Linked DNA regions of Oryza sativa Japonica Group. The protein of the gene in region 1 binds, or shares a complex with, the protein of each later gene. Links are inferred from orthologs where the notes say so. Each region holds a gene or a part of one and is shown in the gene's direction. Other genes may lie near its edges.

The links. The genes of interacting proteins can lie anywhere in the genome.
Region 2: nuclear-pore anchor (region 1) and nuclear pore complex protein NUP96 share a complex: the UniProt entries of both Arabidopsis thaliana proteins name them as parts of the nuclear pore complex. The link is inferred for Oryza sativa Japonica Group from reciprocal best matches to the Arabidopsis thaliana genes NUA and SAR3.

The regions. Positions count from the first base shown.
Region 1 is NC_089036.1:31,504,567-31,508,422, reverse strand, and holds part of nuclear-pore anchor, read left to right. Parts: intron 1-58; coding exon 59-166; intron 167-1,745; coding exon 1,746-1,808; intron 1,809-1,920; coding exon 1,921-2,098; intron 2,099-2,451; coding exon 2,452-3,701; intron 3,702-3,804; coding exon 3,805-3,855; 3' UTR 3,856-3,856. UniProt on the Arabidopsis thaliana protein: Component of the nuclear pore complex. Acts as a docking site for activities required for desumoylation and mRNA export. Required for the proper expression or localization of a subset of miRNAs.
Region 2 is NC_089037.1:3,868,832-3,872,870, forward strand, and holds the start of nuclear pore complex protein NUP96, read left to right. Parts: upstream 1-1,239; 5' UTR 1,240-1,402; intron 1,403-1,534; 5' UTR 1,535-1,697; coding exon 1,698-4,039. UniProt on the Arabidopsis thaliana protein: Contributes to the transfer of mature mRNA from the nucleus to the cytosol. Required for both R gene-mediated and basal disease resistance. RNA export seems to play a critical role in stress responses and regulation of plant growth and development.

The DNA.
Region 1 (3,856 bases):
TTGTGATTTTTATGAACATGAACTCCTTCAGGTTTCTTACATAAACATATATTAACAGACATTGGAAAAAGTCTTGGAGAAAGAGAGAGATGATAATAAGAAAGAAAAAGCATTCCGCAGAAGGAATGAGAAAGTATTTACTACCGCCATTCAAAATATGAATCAGGTATTTCTTCCTCAACTAGCCTGAGTACAGTCTTGTCTTAAAAATTTTTTTGTTTATCGTCAGTTGGGTTTAGATTGAGCACCAAATTTATCATGGAACTACTGATTTAATACAGATTGTCACAAAGCTACACATTAAGTAGCAAATTTGTCACAAAGCTACTGGTTTATTGCCAATTTAATCCCAAAACTACAACGTCTATATCTTCAACATAACTGTAGTGCTAGGGATTGAAAATCTAAAATCTGTAGTTTTTTTATAACTTGAGCAATAAATCTGTAGTTTTGTGATACTTCTCCCTAAATCTGTACCTGATAGCTTTGGGGGAGTGGATTCTAATCCCTTGAGGGGATGTCCCGTCGTGTACCTTTTTCTTTCAAATTCGATACAAATAGTTGTAAAAATTTATGAAAAAAATTCGACCTACTATTTATATCTCTCGACGTGTGCGTTGCGTTTGGACCTAAGATTTTATGGAGTTGTATACTTATGTTGTATGAGTGTTGTCGATCTTTTCCAGAATTTTTCATAACCATTTGGATGGTTTTTAAGCAAACAAGGGGACATCCCTCGAGGGATCAAAATAGTTTCCCTAGTTTTGGCACTAAATGTATAGTTTTGTGATTTGTCTTAAATCCGTAGTTTGTGAAATTTTCTCCTTTTTTTTAACCGATGCAGTAGATTTTCTAATAAGAAAAGCCAAGGAAGTAGACATTAAGATAATGAAAGATTGATATGTTGACATGTTCACAGATGAACTTAGAAAAATGAAAAACTTAATGTGTTCTGGGATATACAAGATGAAACTTTTAAGTAGGATGTTTTAGTGTATTCTAGAGTTGGAAAGTTGGCATCATTATGAATGTTCTAAAGAATAAGTGCCATTTTAAACCTTACCAAAAAATTGGCAAGCCAAATTTTGGTAAAGTTTGAGTGTTTGGTTTATAACCAAGTTTTTGTCAATGTTGCTTGTGATGTATTGATTGTTTTTGCCAAAATATTGGCAACACAAAATCTATGGCAACAAACCAAACACACACATTTTCTTGCCCTTGCCAATTTTTTTGTATAGTTTGTTTGGGCTATAAACCAAATGCTAAGTGTTCATGTCCATTGCCAAACCAACCCTGAGTATTAAGCCTATCATTATGATCTACACTTTTCGTTACATTTTCTTCTATTGAATGATTTCTTAGAATATGAAATTTCACTGTTTAAAGCTTGCAAATGTAGCATCATTTGAGTTTGCTAATGGTTAATGTTTAGCATGATCACAGGCAATTATAGTACACTATAGTAAATTATTGTCTGGGGTTTGCTTATTGGCTTTTCAGGCCATGTCCCATTCCTGTGATAGCCCTTAATGATCAGTTAGCATGCATTGCAGCTTGCTCCAACCTGTTTCCTTAGTATTTACTCGTATTTGTTACCTAATGATACATGATGTGTACCTATTAAAAATGCAACATAACAACTTCATAGTTGCTTGTTTCTCCAATAATTAATCTGTCCTGCCTGGTTAGTGTGTGGTATATGCGCACCCTCTAATCCACTTGTTGCTTTCGAAAATTAATTGCAGGAAAGGAAACAAGTAGAGGAATCAATTGAGAAGCATAGGCAGGCTGTGAAAGAGGTGATTGAGGTACAGTTTATCTGCTCCCATAGATTTCATGTTTCATTATTGCTGCTGCAAATGAAAGTTCCTAGTATATTTTATTTAGAGCTTTGCTACAGCTGATGTGCGTTCTCTGCAGCATTATACTGGAATATCCTCTCAAATCCCATCTGGATCTGCAATCGATGAGCAGCTGCGTTCATATTTCCTTGCCATCAAAGCTGTTGAGGAGTCTCCGAGTCCCTTCCAAGATGGTGCAGCAAGCCAGACACCATCTGTTGAAAGTGCCGATGTGGATGCATCTGCAGCTACTGCAGGTTCCTTTCTGTTCAATTTTTCATTCCACGCTGCTAGTGTATATTTAATGATCTCTATTAGTTAATCATAGTATCTGTTAATGACATGTGATACTTACTAGTTCAGAAATTATATTAGATCTGATCTATTACATGTACTCTTGAACTCGATGTGAATTTGGTTTTGAATGATTTGGCATGTCAGATATTGTTCGGACTTCGGAATGTGATATGATATTGGATTTCTAATGCATCATTTTCTTGCATTGGTTCCATCGCGTGGATCTGAATAATGTGTTTTTCCTTTGCTTTACCGTCACTTGATCAATATGGTAGTTCATAAGGCTGCTGCTTTTTTTTTTTTCTAATCTCAGGGAGACAGGTAGCTACTCCACCAAGGCCTGCTCAAGTTAAAGTGGTGGAGGAGAGAGCAGTTTCTACTTTGCCCAAACCAAGCACTGAAGTACGTAGACCAGGAGGAAGGAGACCACTTGTTCGACCTTCACTTGAACGAGTTGAAGAACCCCAAGCTGATATTGATACAACAGTAGTTGAAGGTTCCACAGAGAAAGGCGGCTTGTTGATGGAGCGTGAAACTCCTGGTGGTGTATCTGCGTTACAGCCATCAAGTCGTAAACGTCTAATTCCATCACCACAAACGAGAGATGATGCTTCACAAGGAGAGACAACGGATGCCAATCCACCACTGAAGAAACCCAAAGAAGGATCTTCACAATGTACTAGTGAGCTAAAAACTGAACAGTCACCTCATGAAGATGTCATGGCACCTGTTCCTGTGCTACCATCTACAGAGTTAGATGAGCAACAGCCTGGAGAAGAGATGGACACCGATCAGTCTTCCTTGCCAGTTGAAGAGGTTGAGGAAACAAGGGAGGATGACTTGGGTGATAAGGATGACATGGAAACACATATAGACGCTTCAATGGACATCCAAGGACAAGATGCAGAAACTGGTATTGATAATGATGCAACTACTGTGGAAGATGTGCCAGTCAAGTCAGAAGCGGTTATGGAATCACTGGAGGAAGACCTGAAAACTGAGGATGGGAAGGAAGAGGGTCAGTTTACTGCAACCACTGATGTTGAAGATGAGAGGGAGGAGGGAGAGTTGCCAGATGAACCAGAACAACCAGACAGCACTCCCCCTGTGCTGGATGTTGGTGAGCAAGCCGGTGATTCTTTCAGGGCGGCATCTCCAGCAGGACCAACTGAAAAGAGTGATGTTGACATGCCAGAAGAAACTGGAGAAGGTGATGGTACCATGGAATCAGACCAAAGCCCTGTACCACAATCTGGTGGAGCAGATGCGTCACCGAGCCAAATGGCTGATGCGTCACCAAGCCCTGCACGTGAACCTTCTCCTAACCCAGTCCAAGCTGGTGCACCTCCTGAACAGCAGAATCCCACCCCTCCTAACCCAGTCCAAGCTGGTGCATCTTCTGAACAGCAGAATCCCGCCACTGCAGCAGAAGGTGTTGAAACTCGTAGTACCAGAACAATCAACCTAACTGAGAGAGCGAGGCAAAACCGGCAAGCCAGGATTCTTCGCTCAGCCACTCAACAGAATGCAAGGGGCCGTGGCAACCAGTCTCTTACATACAGGGTATGGTTTTATACTACAAGACTACTGAGTTTATTTCTGTTGTGTTCTATTTTTGTTATATCCAGTGTTAATTCTGATGGAGAACAATGTTTTCTATGTGCAGAAAGATGGCGGCCGAGGAACACGGGGTCGTGGTGGGCGTGGTCAGTCGTAGA
Region 2 (4,039 bases), on another chromosome or scaffold:
AAAGGACCATGTAGGTGTGGCTTTCCCATTGTAAAAGTGGCAGTTCTGCAACAGTGAGAAGGCCATGGGTGATTGTAAGCAGTGTTGGCCTTAGGGGCAACATGTGTATCCAAAAGAAAAACTAATAAATGTATGCTTGTTGTGCACCAAGATATATGCTTGCTGTGCACCAAGATATGGTTTTGCAGACTGCAGTCGAATGTGTCTTAAACATTTCTGAAAACGATGAACATTTCATAATATTCTTACCTCGCTGGAGTTCTCCCAACCCGAGTCCAAGACTTGATTCCGCATGGGCCGCTGTCTGCCAAATGGATCGTTGGCGAACGCCCGGCCTACCTAGATTTTTTACGTGGACCTTTTTTGAAAACTTGTTTTACAATAGACCATAGAAAAATTATTCTAGGAAAATGGACAATTTTCTAGCCCCCGAGGTCCAACGTATCGGTGCCAACGCGCGGGTGCCGACACCCTTGCTCCCCTAGCAGCCAAGATGTAGAGGTGTAAGGACCTATTTATAAAATATTTTTATAATAAATATAGGTCCTTTGATGCTAAAGATGCCGATGCTTTTGTTGGAGAAAATTTAAACCTTTTTTCGAATCCTTTTACAAATAAGCCTTCAGTGTTAGTCTCTTTGACACAAACCTTATTTACATCAGTAACTTAGCTACCATGGTAGGAAGAGTGTCGGTAGAAGTGTCATTGACGCCAAGGTGCCAATAAGCTTTGGTGTTGAGAAAAATGGTATATTCATGGAATATTTTAGAGGTCTATTTATAAAATAAATTTATCAAAAAGACTAATAATAACCGTAATAATAAATCTAGACTGACCTTCTCGCCGGCGCTGCCGAGTTGAGCCGCTAATTCCCCCAGCATGGAAGTTCTCAAACTAGTCCATTTCTAAATCGCATTTGTAACACGCGATCCACAACATTTTTCACGTTAGTCCTTTTATTTGGACTGCTATCAAAGCAGTACACTATCAAGCTCCGTAATTTTTTTACTTTAGCCCCTGGTTAAGTGATTATGATCGCTACCATTAGCAATGATCCATAAATTTTCGCTTTACCCCCTTATTACTTATTTGGACCGCTCCCGTTGGTACTACAGGTCTGATACTTTTCACTTTGGCCCCTGGTTCGGATCACTTGGGAAAGCGTAAGAAGAGATGCTGGAGTGGGAAATGAACGGCAGGATGATGCTCCATCACTCAATCCAACGGTCACGATAATTCGGATGCCCCAGAAATCCTCGCGAAGGGTTTAGTGCGAGCTCCCCCCTCTCCTCCTCCTCGCCGGCCGCCGCTCCGCTCCGCTCAAGCCGCCGCCTCCTCCTCTTCCCCCTCGCGGCGGCTGCGGCGGCGTCCTCCCCGCCGGCGAACCTCCTCGCCCTCGAAGGTAACCGCTCTCCTCCCGTAGCCCTCCTCCCCTCCCGACCCCCTGCGCAGTCTCCGCGCGGAGATCCACCCGCAGTTCATTCCCCTTGTTCAAATCTAATCCGAATCTCTCCTCCTCTCGAACCCCCTGCAGTTTGTTGGGGGATTTTGTTTGCAGCAGTTGGTTTCCCAAGTGAGGAGAAGAATCTGAATCTGGAGTGGTTTGGTGGAGCGAAGGGCTTGGCTGCGCATGAAGCTATGAAGTCCGGCGGCGCTAGGGCTTGCTGATTCTGTCTCGGTTGCCTCATTGGCCTGCCATGTCTTCCGACCCGGTGTTCCCCGTGCTCCGCCATGGCGATTACTTCACCAAGCCGTCGATCGATGAGCTGGTGGAGAGGGAGGCGGCTGACCCTGGCTACTGCAGCAGGGTCCCGGATTTCGTCGTCGGGAGGGTCGGGTATGGGCGAATTCACTTCCCCGGTGACACTGATGTGAGGGGGATGGACCTGAATGGGATCGTTAAGTTCGGTAGGCACTCTGTGGAGGTTTACAAGGATGAGGCTAGCAAGCCGCCTTTAGGGCAAGGTCTTAATAAGCCAGCAGAAGTGACGTTGATGCTGAATTTGAGCGTGCTTCCAGAGCCTAGCGCTCTTGGGGAGTTGCTTAAGTGTCAAACGAGAAAGCAAGGCGCTAGGTTCGTTTCGTTCAACCACTCGAGCGGCAGGTGGAAGTTCGAGGTTGATCATTTTAGTCGATTCGGTCTTGTGGACGAGGAGGAAGAGGATGTTGTGATGGATGAGGTGGTTGTTCGGCAGCCTATTGCGGAAGTAAGAGACCCACCTGCAAATGGTCATGAGCTGGAGCTTTCACGTTCGTTGCCTGCTCATCTTGGGCTTGACCCTGCAAAGATGCATGAAATGCGGATGACGATGTTCTCCAATGAGGAAGGTGATGAAGATATGGAGGATGGATTCCCATCTGATCAGAGATACTTCAGCAGTGAGAAGATGAATGTGGATTCACCGAACTCAAGTGCTAAAGGTTTGAGGCTAAGGTCTCTCTCTCCTTTGCATGGTTCTTCTCTGAAAGTCAGCAGGAGACCTGGTGTAATTGGTAGGAGAGAACCACAGGCTCTGCTGGAATACAGTGTAAATTCTTCAGAACATGGCCCATCTTCTCATGGTATTCTTATGTCTGGGCAAAACAAGGGATTTCCAGTGAGAATGACCAAGGTGGATGGCTTTAAGTTGCCATCTGATCAGGAAACTCCTGTGGCTGGGAACGTATATTCCAATTGTGTTGTGGATGCTGCTTTATTTATGGGCAGGTCATTTCGTGTTGGTTGGGGACCAAATGGCATCCTTGTACATTCTGGCAGTCTTGTCAATAGACCCGGAACTGGTCTATCTTCTGTTATTCACATAGAGAAAGTTGCAGGCGACAAAGTTGTACGTGATGAGAAGAACAAAATTAAGGAGGAGCTGACTGATCTGTGCTTCTCAGACCCGCTGGATCTCCATAGGAGGCTTCATCATGAATATCTGGAGACTGAGTCTGACTTGTTTAAATTGAAGCTTCAGAAGGTTGTGGCAAGTCGCTTTGTGTTGCCAGATATTTGCAGATCTTATATTGACATCATTGAAAGGCAGCTTGAAGTCAGTGATTTATCTATGTCTTCTCGTGTGCTGTTAATGCACCAGGTTACAGTTTGGGAGCTTATTCGGGTCTTGTTCTCAGAAAGAGCAACTGGTAACCAGTTAGAGCCTACTGGTGATGAGGACCAGGAGGGGATGATTTTAGATAAGAAAGAAGGTACTGTTGCCATAGACCTTGAAGCACTCCCTTTGGTTAGAAGAGCAGACTTTAGCAATTGGTTACAGGACAGTGTTTGTCATCGGGTTCAAGGAGAGGCGGGCTCCTTAAATGATGCCAGGTATCTGGAACATATTATTCTGCTTTTGACTGGTCGGCAATTAGACACAGCCACAGAAGTTGCTGCCTTTAGGGGTGATGTTCGACTGGCAATTTTGCTAAGCCAGGCAGGTGGGTCAATGCTAAATCGTTCTGACCTTTCTCAGCAACTGGATCTATGGAAAACAAATGGTCTGGATTTTGATTATATTCAGGAAGACAGGTTAAAGATATATGAGTTGCTTTCTGGTAATGTACAAGGCGCGTTGGTAGATTCATCAATTGACTGGAAACGGTACCTTGGTTTAATAATGTGGTATCAACTATCACCTGATGCATCACTTGATATTATCATTCACTCTTATCACCAGCTCCTTGGTGAGGGCAAAGTCCCATATCCTGTACCTGTATATATAGATGAAGGACCCCTTGATGAGTCACTTCAATGGTCCCCAGGTGACCGCTTTGACATATCCTTTTATCTAATGCTGCTTCATGCAAATCAAGACGAGAAGTTTGGGATGCTAAAAACTATGTTCAGTGCATTCTCATCTTCATATGATCCCTTGGACTACCATATGATCTGGCATCAGTGTTCCATTCTGGAAGCTATCGGTGCTTTCAGTTCAAATGATCTTCATGTGCTAGATTTGAGTTTTGTTTACCAATTATTGTGTCTGGGGAAGTGCCATTGGGCTATCTATGTCATTCTACATATGCCTCATCTTGATGACGCCCCATACATCCA